Linked DNA regions of Saccharomyces cerevisiae S288C. The gene in region 3 interacts genetically with the main gene of each other region. Each region holds a gene or a part of one and is shown on either strand. Other genes may lie near its edges.

What was found. Genes that interact genetically often act in the same process or in processes that back each other up.
Region 1: of GIS3 (region 3) and GIS4, extra expression of one rescues a mutant of the other (dosage rescue), as found in Saccharomyces cerevisiae (one study listed by BioGRID).
Region 2: mutations in GIS3 (region 3) and ENV9 together harm fitness more than expected from each alone (negative genetic interaction), as found in Saccharomyces cerevisiae (2 studies listed by BioGRID).

What each region holds. Positions count from the first base shown.
Region 1 is NC_001145.3:255,523-260,385, forward strand, and holds GIS4 (Gis4p), read right to left. Parts: upstream 2,895-4,863; coding exon 570-2,894; downstream 1-569. Other genes in the region: DNA-binding transcription factor YAP1, read left to right, coding at 1-278; TRM12 (tRNA(Phe) (4-demethylwyosine(37)-C(7)) aminocarboxypropyltransferase), read left to right, coding at 4,699-4,863.
Region 2 is NC_001147.6:795,232-798,568, reverse strand, and holds ENV9 (Env9p), read left to right. Parts: upstream 1-1,775; coding exon 1,776-2,768; downstream 2,769-3,337. Other genes in the region: SRL1 (Srl1p), read right to left, coding at 261-893; DGA1 (diacylglycerol O-acyltransferase), read left to right, coding at 3,237-3,337.
Region 3 is NC_001144.5:327,211-331,188, forward strand, and holds GIS3 (Gis3p), read right to left. Parts: upstream 2,029-3,978; coding exon 520-2,028; downstream 1-519. Other genes in the region: NYV1 (Nyv1p), read right to left, coding at 1-48, 190-205; IOC2 (Ioc2p), read right to left, coding at 2,467-3,978.

The DNA.
Region 1 (4,863 bases), on a different chromosome or scaffold from region 3:
GCGAAATCTCACAAAAAAATGGCAGTAGTTTACAGAATGCTGACAAAATCAATAATGGCAATGATAACGATAATGATAATGATGTCGTTCCATCTAAGGAAGGCTCTTTACTAAGGTGTTCGGAAATTTGGGATAGAATAACAACACATCCGAAATACTCAGATATTGATGTCGATGGTTTATGTTCCGAGCTAATGGCAAAGGCAAAATGTTCAGAAAGAGGGGTTGTCATCAATGCAGAAGACGTTCAATTAGCTTTGAATAAGCATATGAACTAAAGCGGGAACTTTATGGAAAACTGGGTAACCGAAAGAACTTTTTCTATAATGTTACAATTAAACTTTTTTAACTTACCTTGCTTCGCCTTTTCGCCGAAAGTAGGTAGATTGTATCACCTCGGTATTTTTTTATGTACACAACCTATACTTTAAATATATTTAGACTATGTATGAATTCTCTGTATCACCTTCAATGTCAATATAGAAACTGGTAAGTGCAATAGTACCAATAATGATTATAATTATAATACAAGTATATATATATATCTATATATAGTGGTAAAGTATTCTTTACATGATGGCACAACGCTGAGATTTATCCGTACCTGCAGAACCACTGTTTTTATGATTCTTAAACCTATTCATCTGGAATTTCCAACGCTTTCTATCCTTGTTAGTGGCATGAGTAGGGTTATCTATGCCGCTTAAAGACTTTAGTAATGTAGGTAAAGGCAAACTTTTGGACCTTTCCACGGCACTCATAGCATTGATGGAACTCTTTATCTTTTTCAACTCATTTTTGGAATTACTTTCATTGTTACCCTTGGAATTAGGTTTGTGAGAATTTTTTGTCTTCAAAGAATGGCTAAAATTCGAGGAAGTCGTATTAGAGTTCGACAGTTGTGTCATTGGATGAGGTTCACTTGATAAAACTGTACTTTCACCTGTTTTAGAGTTATCCAACTCGTTACTATTACTTTTATCGATTTTTGTAACAGAATTATGTCTATTGAATGCCCATTCCCCGATACTGTTTACGGTTCTAATAGAACGATGTGCTGTAGTAACGTTAGATTCCATTCTAGTTGGTATGTACATTTGTGGGCCTGACTGTTCTGATAAAGAAGCATCGTCACCATCGTCTTCATCGTCTTCATCGTCAATATAGTCGTTGTAACCGTTATTATATGCAGTCGGGAAATATTGTTGCGGGTCGTTAGTTAATGATAACTCAGAATCTAGAGGTTGCTCTTTTGATATTCCTTCCCTATTATCATAATTGGGATTTTTGAATTCTTCTTCAACCTGTTTGCCGGAGTTTGTCACAATAACCATTGTGTAAAATAAAATTTTTGGAAATGATCTCTTGATATCTAGCAAATCTTGAAGTGTTAGAATTTGTAAATTATTCATTGAAAAATTGGAATCATACAGCAACCAATCATCGGTAACGCTTGCCATTGTAGGTTTATTGTTTGACTGTCTAATCGCAGTAAAAATTTCTTTGGTGTCTGGATCCTGAATTAATATAGATTGCAAAACTAGCCTAAAATACCCTAGAGAATCACAAATTGAGATTGACGGTAGAATGGATAGTACTGAGTAATCGGAAGAAGAAAGATCTTCATCATCATAAACCTCTTCTCCATCGTCCTCTCCTGATCCATACCCTTGGGCGTCATAGTTATGATGAATTAAATTATCCTCCTCCTCTGGGGTTGTCGAAGTAGTTAAATTGTCTATAGAACTCGTTATACTTGACAATTCAGAGACATAGGTGGCATTCGTGTGATCGATGTTTTCACGTTTTGGATTACCTCGGCTGCTACTGCTTAAACTGTAGTGGGCACTACTACTATTACTGCTACTACTATAGCTAGTGTAGCTGACCGAACTTTCCATGCTATAACTTGCTTGATCGATACTCTCGTCACCTAGATCATGTGAGACTCTGCTATAATGATCCTCAACTTCATCCTGACCACTTTCATCCTCGCGCCTGGCAGTAGTTAAACTCAGGTCTTGTCCGGGATATGTGGATGATACGTCTTCGCCAGCAAAACTATCTATTGACATTATCTCGGAATGTGACGGTGTATAGTCTTCATTAGTGTATGATGGAAAAATTTTGGGTAGTCTATTAGGCTTTGAATCTACTGTTCGCGAATGAGAAAAATTTAGGACTATAGAACTTGTGGCATCCTCTTCATCAACTTCGTTTTCATTATCTTGAGGCGTATCATTATTATTGCTTTGACTATTCACGGATGTAACGTTTATATCAACTGTGTCCGGAGATGTCAAAGTCCTCGTATTCGTATTAGTTCGGGTAGCTGTTGAAGTCTGGGTATTTATATTTGACCACTGATCATCCGAAACGTTTGATTCTAGCTTCCCGTTTGAAGCTTTTGATGAAGATATTGTGGGTGGTGGTATTGAATTTCTATTGTTATTGTTTAAAGCCTTGGAATTTTTTTGAACTTGCCAACTTGTACTCGCAAATTCTAAAAAGGTAGGGTCTTGGAAATTGTTGAGGTTGTCCGTCAATAGGTAATGATTTTCATGATTGTAGCAGTGGGAGTGAGTTAATTTTGAGATTTGAATGTGTTCTAATTTTTCCAGATGAAAGTAATCTTTGAGGAAGATTTCCAATATGGAGATATCTTCATGAACATTCTCTGGGATGGAAACTAACAAAATCTTCTTGTTTGGCCTGGCCGAAATATTGTTATCACCATAAAAATGACTATTCAGAAATCTTTTTAACAGAGTGTATTTTAATTGATTGCCTATAAGTTCTTCAAAATCGCCTAATCTGAGGTTTGTTAAGTACCACGACCACAAACCATTGTCATCATTGTCAAAATAGTCGCCCACTCTAACGGATTTTTGCATTATATTTAAGTAACAGAGTGCTTTTTGATGGTTTTTGTTAACCGTCTTTCGAGCAGTTGAAGGATGAGAGTGAGTGTTAATGAGGGGTTATTTCTGCAAAACTTCTGCCGATATATTCTGCACTTAGTTCCCGCTGTTGTTCAGCCTTCACGTTCCTTAGCTACACAAGTCAGTTAAATCTGGTCCTGCCAAAGTGAATAAGTTGAAGATATTTATCTAGCTTGCGATGGAAAAAACTACAATAGGAAAAAAACTAATTAAAAAAAGAAAAAAAAAGAGAAGAATTCAATGTTTAGGGATATAAATTCGATATAAAGGTTTAAAGTAAATAAATTTCGTGTATTACTATGCAAGTAATGTTTCTGCCTGCACCGGCTTCGTAGCTGGTGGAGTGCGATAGCGATGATACTACCTGAAAACACAGAGGAAGGCCGTCAGCCCCGCGCTAGGAACGATGAGGAGAAACCAGTTGGCGAATCGCCACATGCCATTTACGTAAAAGATGCTGTGTAACCTAACAGAAATAATCGATGGTGTGAACTAAAGTCCTAGGATGCACATAAGCAAGCGAAAAAGTGAAAACAACATTTCCAGAGCTAAAAAAATGCATTTGCCGATCCGAAATAATCTCAAAACGAAAAAATGATTATGGACGTAAACAAAATTACCGCATTTCGCTCTCCTATTATCATAACAAGCATGAGCGCAAAACTTAAAAATCCATCAAGAGGCAAAAAATAACGACAACTGCAGGACTCGAACCTGCGCGGGCAAAGCCCAAAAGATTTCTAATCTTTCGCCTTAACCACTCGGCCAAGTTGCCATACTAACTTGATTATTTGTGTATTCTGTTTTCTTGTGATTCCTTCTGGTTACATAATTACATTGTCTATATTCATATTTGATTCTAACAGCAGGTAATATTGGTCTATCGGCTACTCGTTCAAAAAATTAAAATCGTTATCAATTATATTCCATAGTATAGGTTGTTAAAAGATGGAATTAATTAAAGTAGAGTAGTAGAACAGGGATCACAGTGTTATTAGATTTTGGAGCAACTGATGTGTGTGAGTAATATATAAGGATGAATCGAATGAAAGTATTATGAGAAAAGGAATCATCGTTGTGTAAAGTTGTTCATTTCGTATTTCTGGGTACTGTGAATGAGATGAACTTGCTGATAATCGTTGGCATACTATTATTTGGAACGGTAATATTTTTGCGAATACAAAGTATACTGTAGTTTTTCCCCGAGGATTTACGAACCCACGAGAAGTGATCAATATTTCTACACAGTAGCATTATGATCTCTCTTTATTCGCTTATGTGTCGCCATTCACTACCCTATCATAATTCGGATCCTTGTGTTTCAGCTCCCATTAAGTTTGACGACCGTTCGTCATTTATTTATATTCTTACACCGTACACGATAATATACTTATGCGAACTCTAGTCGGTCGATGGTGATTAATTTTCATTTCAATATTTACTTATATCGGCGATAAGTCTTAAGCATGGAATTTATAGTCATTCTGTCACCCCTCCGAAACAGAAATGAATTTGTAAATGTATTCACTAAGTTTAGCCGTTTTAGACATTTGAATGTCGTTCGTCATCAGCGCGGCCAATATTGTTTACATGAAGAAAATGTTGTTAATATAGGCACTCTATTTGGTTTCATTATGAGAAGTATCTTGCTGCTTGATGTCTTCGCACTTTTTTTTTCCAGATTTTTCAGGTGATGAGGTGGAGCTGGAGGATTTTACAATATTACTCAAATAATTTGTAGACAACGTTAGCGTGAATGAGTGACGAAACCATGCCTGTAGAATTTTTAGTTAGTGATAAAAGACTGTTGAAAACCATAAAAGTTAAACTGGAAACCAACGGCCTTTTTGTTACTCCTATCTATTCCGATAATGATAACAAAGTTATAAAATCTTCTATTGAGGATCTCAATCATCCATTG
Region 2 (3,337 bases), on a different chromosome or scaffold from region 3:
TGATTTATAGCTGCACTTAGAAAATAAAGCAAATTAGGTGAAGTGTCTTTTTATTTTATTTTTTTTTTTCTATTAACAAACAAATGTCCATGTATATATATATAAACGAGAGAAAAATGATAGTGAAAAATAAATACCAGTTGGAACTTAAACTGATGTATTTAGGTAGCAGAAGGATAGAGTTACAGAAGGTGAAATTGTCAATACAGATACAAAAAAGAAACAAAAAGAACTTAAAAGGACACGTTTGAACTCATAATTCACCAACTGGTCGAATTAGTAATCGAAGTGGTGTTGTACCATTGTACGTTACCTGGAGAGGTAGTGGTAACAGAAGGTGCACCGGTGACAGTAACGTATTGTGTAGTCGTATTTGGGGTGACTGTAACGTACTGGGTAACGGGCTCATTGGTGACAGTGACAAACTTTGTGATTGGGACGCAACCATTGGAAGTTGAAGCCTGTTCAAAGGACTTGACCTTTGCATCTTTGTTGTTTGAATCTTCGTCACTGACACTTGCTGCAGTAGATGATGGAGACAAAGTAGTGGAGTCATGAAGGGTTAGCAGCAAAGTGGACGTGATAGTCGAGGTGGAGGTAATTTCATGGGTGGATTCTGGGGTTACAGATCCAGAGGCCGAAGAGGTGGACAAGGAGGAGGAGGCCGCATTGGTAATGGTGGCTGAAGTTGAGGTGAACCAGCTCGTGGAGTAGACCGTTGAGGTGACAAAAAAGGTAGTGGTGTCGTCGGCGTACGATATGGTAGTCTCTTGGGGCACCAAGGAGTAGCTGGGCGCTAAAGTGGTAGTTGTAGAAACAGTATTGTTTGAATAAATCGCTGACACAGAACTTGCGAAGGTTAAAAGAGCGAAAAAGACAACGGATTGAAGCATTTTTTTATTTTTGGTTGATAAAGAACGACTAAGGTGAGAGTGAAAGTGATGTGATTTTTAATTATGTAGTGTAATTGAAACAATAAAAAAAAAACAAGGGAATGGACGAGACCTATTAATGGGTACTATGGCTCAAATAGCAAAAAAAATTTGTAAAATGGGTAAAAAAATGAGAGAAATACGCGAGAAACCTCTTGGTTGGATGTTGTGCTAAACTAGTTGCTTAAACGCTTGCAAAACTTTTTTATAGATAAAATATGCCAAGTGAAAAGAAAAGGAAGCAGAAGAGAAAAACTTAGAAAGGTAGAGGTAAGAAAGAATAAACCAAAATGTAAGCTAGGTGAGGGAAATATTTTGGAGCTTAAATATCTCGAACGACACTCACTCTCGTCAGAAAAATCTGTCGAGTAACTCAGACCACCTCCGATAGCATACCTTGTTTAGTTTCATAATCGGCAGAGACGTCATTCCTGCACAGAACGCCAAAATTCGTGGCCCCCGCGGTACCTGAATCAGGGCCAAGAATTTTGGCGTTTCGTGTTGTTGACATATTCCGAAAAAGGTATTGAGCCACAGGTCTTTCGCGTCTTCTAAGCCCCAAGATAAAGAAAATGCCGCCCTGCTTAATCACTGTTTTTTTTTGGAAAACCCTGAAGTATAGAAGTAGGGCATTGAAAGAAAAGATATGCGGGTAAGATATGAAAAAATTGAGGAAATGAGACCCAAGTGTACATGGGTATATATAAACAAATCATTATGGTGCATGATGCATCACTTACAATGCACACACACTATTGTCTTTGTAGAAACGGGGAAGACAATGGTTGTAGGCCTGATTGGTATTAGAGGCATCCGCAGTACGAGACATACGCCAAAGGCAGAATGTTAGACCCACGAATATTGCCATACTACGACCCGGCTGTGGAGAGGAAGATTGCTGTAGTAACAGGCGGAAATACGGGTATTGGGTGGTATACTGTCTTGCATTTGTATTTGCATGGGTTTGTCGTTTATATTTGTGGGAGAAACTCTCACAAGATTTCGAAAGCAATCCAGGAGATACTGGCAGAAGCAAAGAAGAGGTGCCATGAAGATGACGACGGTTCAAGCCCAGGCGCGGGCCCAGGTCCAAGCATTCAGCGTCTAGGGTCACTGCACTATATCCATTTGGATTTGACAGACTTAAAATGTGTGGAGAGAGCGGCACTTAAAATTCTCAAGCTGGAAGACCACATAGACGTGCTTGTTAACAATGCAGGGATTATGGCGGTGCCCTTAGAAATGACGAAGGACGGATTTGAAGTGCAATTGCAGACTAACTACATTTCGCACTTCATCTTCACGATGAGATTATTGCCTTTACTGCGCCATTGTCGTGGCAGGATCATTTCCCTGTCCTCGATAGGCCATCATCTAGAGTTCATGTACTGGAAACTGAGCAAGACGTGGGATTACAAACCTAATATGCTTTTCACATGGTTTAGGTACGCGATGAGTAAAACCGCGCTAATCCAATGCACGAAGATGTTGGCCATCAAATACCCTGACGTTCTTTGTCTCTCCGTTCATCCGGGTCTGGTGATGAACACAAACTTATTCAGTTATTGGACAAGGTTACCCATCGTCGGTATTTTCTTTTGGCTGTTGTTCCAGGTCGTAGGGTTCTTTTTCGGCGTATCGAACGAACAAGGTTCACTAGCTTCTTTGAAGTGTGCATTGGACCCGAATTTATCTGTCGAAAAAGATAACGGGAAGTACTTCACCACGGGGGGTAAAGAATCTAAATCGAGCTACGTTTCTAACAATGTCGACGAAGCGGCATCGACTTGGATCTGGACCGTTCATCAACTAAGAGACCGTGGTTTCGATATATAACAAGACGGAAAGATTGAAAGAGTAGATAGATGTACATTTTATTTAAATATTAGTTAGTCGTTATTGTAACTGGTAATCAGAGCAAGAAGTTTTTCTGTACTTTGTTCTCTGCAGGCAACTAAGTTACGGGCCGACAAAGGCTTATGATGTGCGTTTTTTATTCAATTGATAGATTCAGTCAGCATTGACGTAATGGGAAGGCTAGAAAAAGAGAAGACTGAATTTGGAAACTTATTCCTCAAAGCAGACCAGTACTTCCACCGCATTTCTGTACTTAACCAAGCACGACAGTGGTCTATCAGGCTTGGATCTTTCACTACACTTCCGCCAAAGTTTTTTTTTTTTCCTGTTTATCCCAGATCACGTTTGTTCCATTAAGGAGGTTTACTATCATCTCATTTCCATTTACACATACACTTACATATACATAAGGAAACGCAGAGGCATACAGTTTGAACAGTCACATAAATGTCAGGAACATTCAATGATATAAGAAGAAGGAAGAAGGAAGAAGGAAGCCCTACAGCCGGTATTACCGAAAGGCATGAGAATAAGTCTTTGTCAAGCAT
Region 3 (3,978 bases):
AACAACTAGATATTGTTTCACCATTTTTTATAACTTCCACATAACTTACTAAGACCATATGCAAAATCAAGCAAAATGGAACGTTAGTCTACTGAATGTAACATAGTAAAATTATGGCATGGGGGGATGAGCATTCGCATAATCCCTTTTTTAAACATTTGTTAATTGTGTAGAAATATTTATACATACCATTAAAGCGTTTCATTTGGTAAAAATATAAAAGTCCAATGCTCTAACAGCTTAATAAATTGTCGCTTTTCACTCTGTTCTTCAAATTTAATAGCTGTTGCTCCAACTTAGTCAAGTGCTAGAAAATTCATAGAGGGGCTTTTTTTCATCATTATTGTGACCTCATTTTTTCTTTCTTCGATCGTTTGAGGCGAATATTACCCGGGCGCTTGGTGGTAATGCGTTGTTTTAAATATTATATATAATGAATGTGGTGGTAGAATATATAGTTTACTATTTTTAGATAATGCAAATGGGTGGGGTGAAGGCGATGAAAAGGTGGGGGGTCTATCAGAGAAACCTGCTGTCACACCAGCCCTTTACGACATATTGAATCTCTCTCGTAGGTGCGGAAGTCTTATTGGTGACTTTGCCTAAATTTAGTTTTCCGCATGGTTTGAGCATTGTGCCGCCATTGTTGAACCATGGCTTGACGTCTGAGTGTACGCGGACCAAAGAACTTTTCAAATCCGCCGTTGCATGTTCGCTTGCGGATTCACGGCCTTGCGAAGGTTCCGTATTGCTTGTCGTTGCAACAAAGTGCAAATTCCAGGGGGTAGAATCGCCAAAAAGATCATTTCTTGTTTCATGGACCATGTCAGACCATAATTTTTTCCTAGTAATTAGGGCAAGCTTAATATCGTTCGTAGAGACATTTGGCTCCTTTTTGATTTCCAAAGACCGAATTTCGGAATACGTTAGCTGCTTCAACAGATGGTCATCTACTTCGACTTCGGGTAAAATACTCTTCCTTTTACATGATGTTTCAATAGAGTATAACTTTAGGAAATTGGTATTCAAACTTTTTTGTCTTATTCTTTTATTGGGCAAGAGCTCGCTAGATGCAATCGAACCGTCGGTCTCGGGCGATGGTGATGCAGATGGCCATTGTTCTAATTCTACCAGGTCATTTTCGTAAATCATGTTTTCTGTAGTCGATTTGCTCCTACTCTTCCTTCTTGAAGTCTTGCCGCCTTTCTTGTCGATGATTTGGAAGTCCACAGAGGTCGGACGAAGTTTGGCATCGGACGACGCAGAAACCAGTGAAAGGGCAGAGGACGATCGCGGACGCCGTTCGTATACGGGAGGAAAGATATCGACTAAATCCTTAACCTCCCAGTCGTCGAACAAATCGAGATCATTTATGTTTATTATTTTCATTTTGGGCACGACCGGCTCAGCCAGTACCTCATCGCCAATCGCGGGGGTCTGCAAATCGACAGCGTCAGCAATATCATCTGTCAAGGGATGAAGTTTAGAGGAGCTCAATGAAGAACAGTCGCTTTGAGCTTCCTCGGAGAACTTCCTCTTTATGCTCTGTGTTAAGTGGCCCTCATGTATGGGGCATTCGCCCGATAACGTCTTGGCGGAATTTGTTTTCCTAACTTGCGACATGACCGAGCTTAAGGACGGGGTCATCAAAGATGAGCGATTTTCGTTCAGCAGTTCGGAATCGTCTCGAGCCTTCAGTATTCTAGTCCTCTTGAAGCTATTCCTCTTGGTTAGTGTTCTAGTACGTTCAGCGCTTCCTTGACCATCGAACTGCGGCTTAGTGGAGTGGAAATAAATCTCATCGCTCACCGTCCTATTACTTGTGGCGGTCTTGTTCATGCTGGCGCTGGCTAACTTGTTATTCTTCTTATTAGTAGCGGTAGCGTAAAATGACTTGGGATAAAATACCTTTGATGAGTCGCTCCATGAGTGCAATGCGCCATCATCACGTATGCTTTTGATGAGGCAATGTTCATGCACATGAGCATCGTGCATTAGTGTGTGATTTGTGTTCACGTCCAGCAGCATTCTATAATTATGTCTTGTTGAAAGTGTTCTGTATGTTCGTGTCTATCCAAAGAAACAAGTAATTGAGAAAACTAGCCATCAAATACTTGTGAAGAAGCGAGTTTCCATTCTCTGTTTCACTCGTTTGGCGTTCTCACCATCCCACTTTTATTTCATTGGCTTTTTTAACACAATAAGGCGCCTTCAGCACCTTTGCCGCGCATTAAGGATGGCCACTGACGAAAAACCGGATAAAAAAAGACGAAAAAATGCCGTCTGACCCTAGTCAGGAGCCGCCTCATACACCCTAATTATTTTGGCGCTAAGCCCTAAGCATCATTATTACCCGACATGAAGCGACAGAAGCCCTACGGATGTGCGGCTGGAAAAGAAAGTTTCATGAAGAACCAGTTGATATATATTTTACTATATACTTTTGCTGTGTATTTCTATATGAGGCTAGTTGGTTGGTGGGAACTGGAAGTGAAAGTTCTGTTCTTTAGGGTGCAGCGGTTGCTGTTGCTGTTGCTGTTGCTGTTGCTGCTGTGGTTGGATTGATGCTTGTGATGTTTGTGGTGCCTGTGGTGCTTGTGGTACAGTTTTGCTGCCAGTTTGCTGCGAGTATGTAATTATGGGGTGAGCGGCATTTACATTAGGTGCTGGATTGATGGCTGGATTTGTTTTTTCGTAAGCGGCGATACTAGGCGTTGTGCTACTTGACATGTTTGCAAATGCATTATTAAACACTGGAGGTGAGACAGACTCGGTTAGTTCCCTTTTCTTTGCAAGCTCTTCGAGCCTTTTCTTTTCTTCCTTCATTTTTTTTCTTCTTTCACGGTCTTCCTGTTGTTTTCTTTGTTTGGCCCTTATTATTTTCAATTCAGGCACAAAAATGTTGCGCAGCTCAAGTTCCAAGTCCCTGATGCACCAAGCGCAGATAAAAGTGGAGCATTCAGACAGCGGTTTGCGTTTATCAGTAGGTCTTGAAGACTTGGTGCTGGGTTCAAGTGTGGATTGGGGTCTGCGAGAAGACCTTCTATTGCCGTGCGAATTTCCCATTATGATGACGCCAAAATCACGTTGCGACAGCGTGTGCTGTGGGGATTTTGTGGTTGAAGATATAAGCTCTATAATTTTTGGAGGTTGGCATTCCCAATGCTGCCACCTGTAACAATGATCACAGCATATCAATGGGCGGTTATTGAAGAGGTCAGTCTCCGTGTCTTCGGTGATAATCATGGGCGCCAGCTCTGGTTCGCCCGGACATTGGAAAACAGAATCTTGGTTGTCGGGCTCTTGCTGCGGAGTAAAGATCCCGTAGTTGGCAAGCTCATCTAGCTCTTCCTTTGTTATGCAGAAGTCACTAGGCAATTCAGGGACGTCTCCCGTCTGTAGTGGCCCAACAGTTCCAGGAATTGGTGGTTCCACCGGGATTATACTAGATTGAAAGTTAGGGCCGTGATCAAGAACTCCGATATCGATTTCATTTAAGGGATTGTCCTCCTCCCTGCCCAAAGACGTTTCAAAAAACGGTGTACCAGAACCACTTCTATCTTTGAGCTCGTTACGCCTGGTCAATTTTTCATCTCTATAATCTTGATCGTACAATTGCCACAATTGGTTCCAAAGAAGATCTTTTATCTTTTTGATTTCCTTCGACACTAGCTTGTTTCTGTGCCTTATAAATTGTTCTCTTTCATCTAGTTTTTCAAACCACTCACTTTCCAAGTCTTTTTTCTTGTTTTCTTCCTCTTTCGCTACCAGTCTCGAAGATCTTTTCCTCCTTGTCATTAGCTCCGCAATTGCTCTCTCCTTTTCTCTGTTGGCCAAAAGTTTTGCCGAATATAGTCTATGTTCGGCATACACCGGTATTAAGTTAGTTATGAACTCATCTATGGCTTTCGAACTTTTATTCTCTGACCAGTATTCTAGCATGGACCCCCAATTAGTTGTAATCACATCATAATCAAT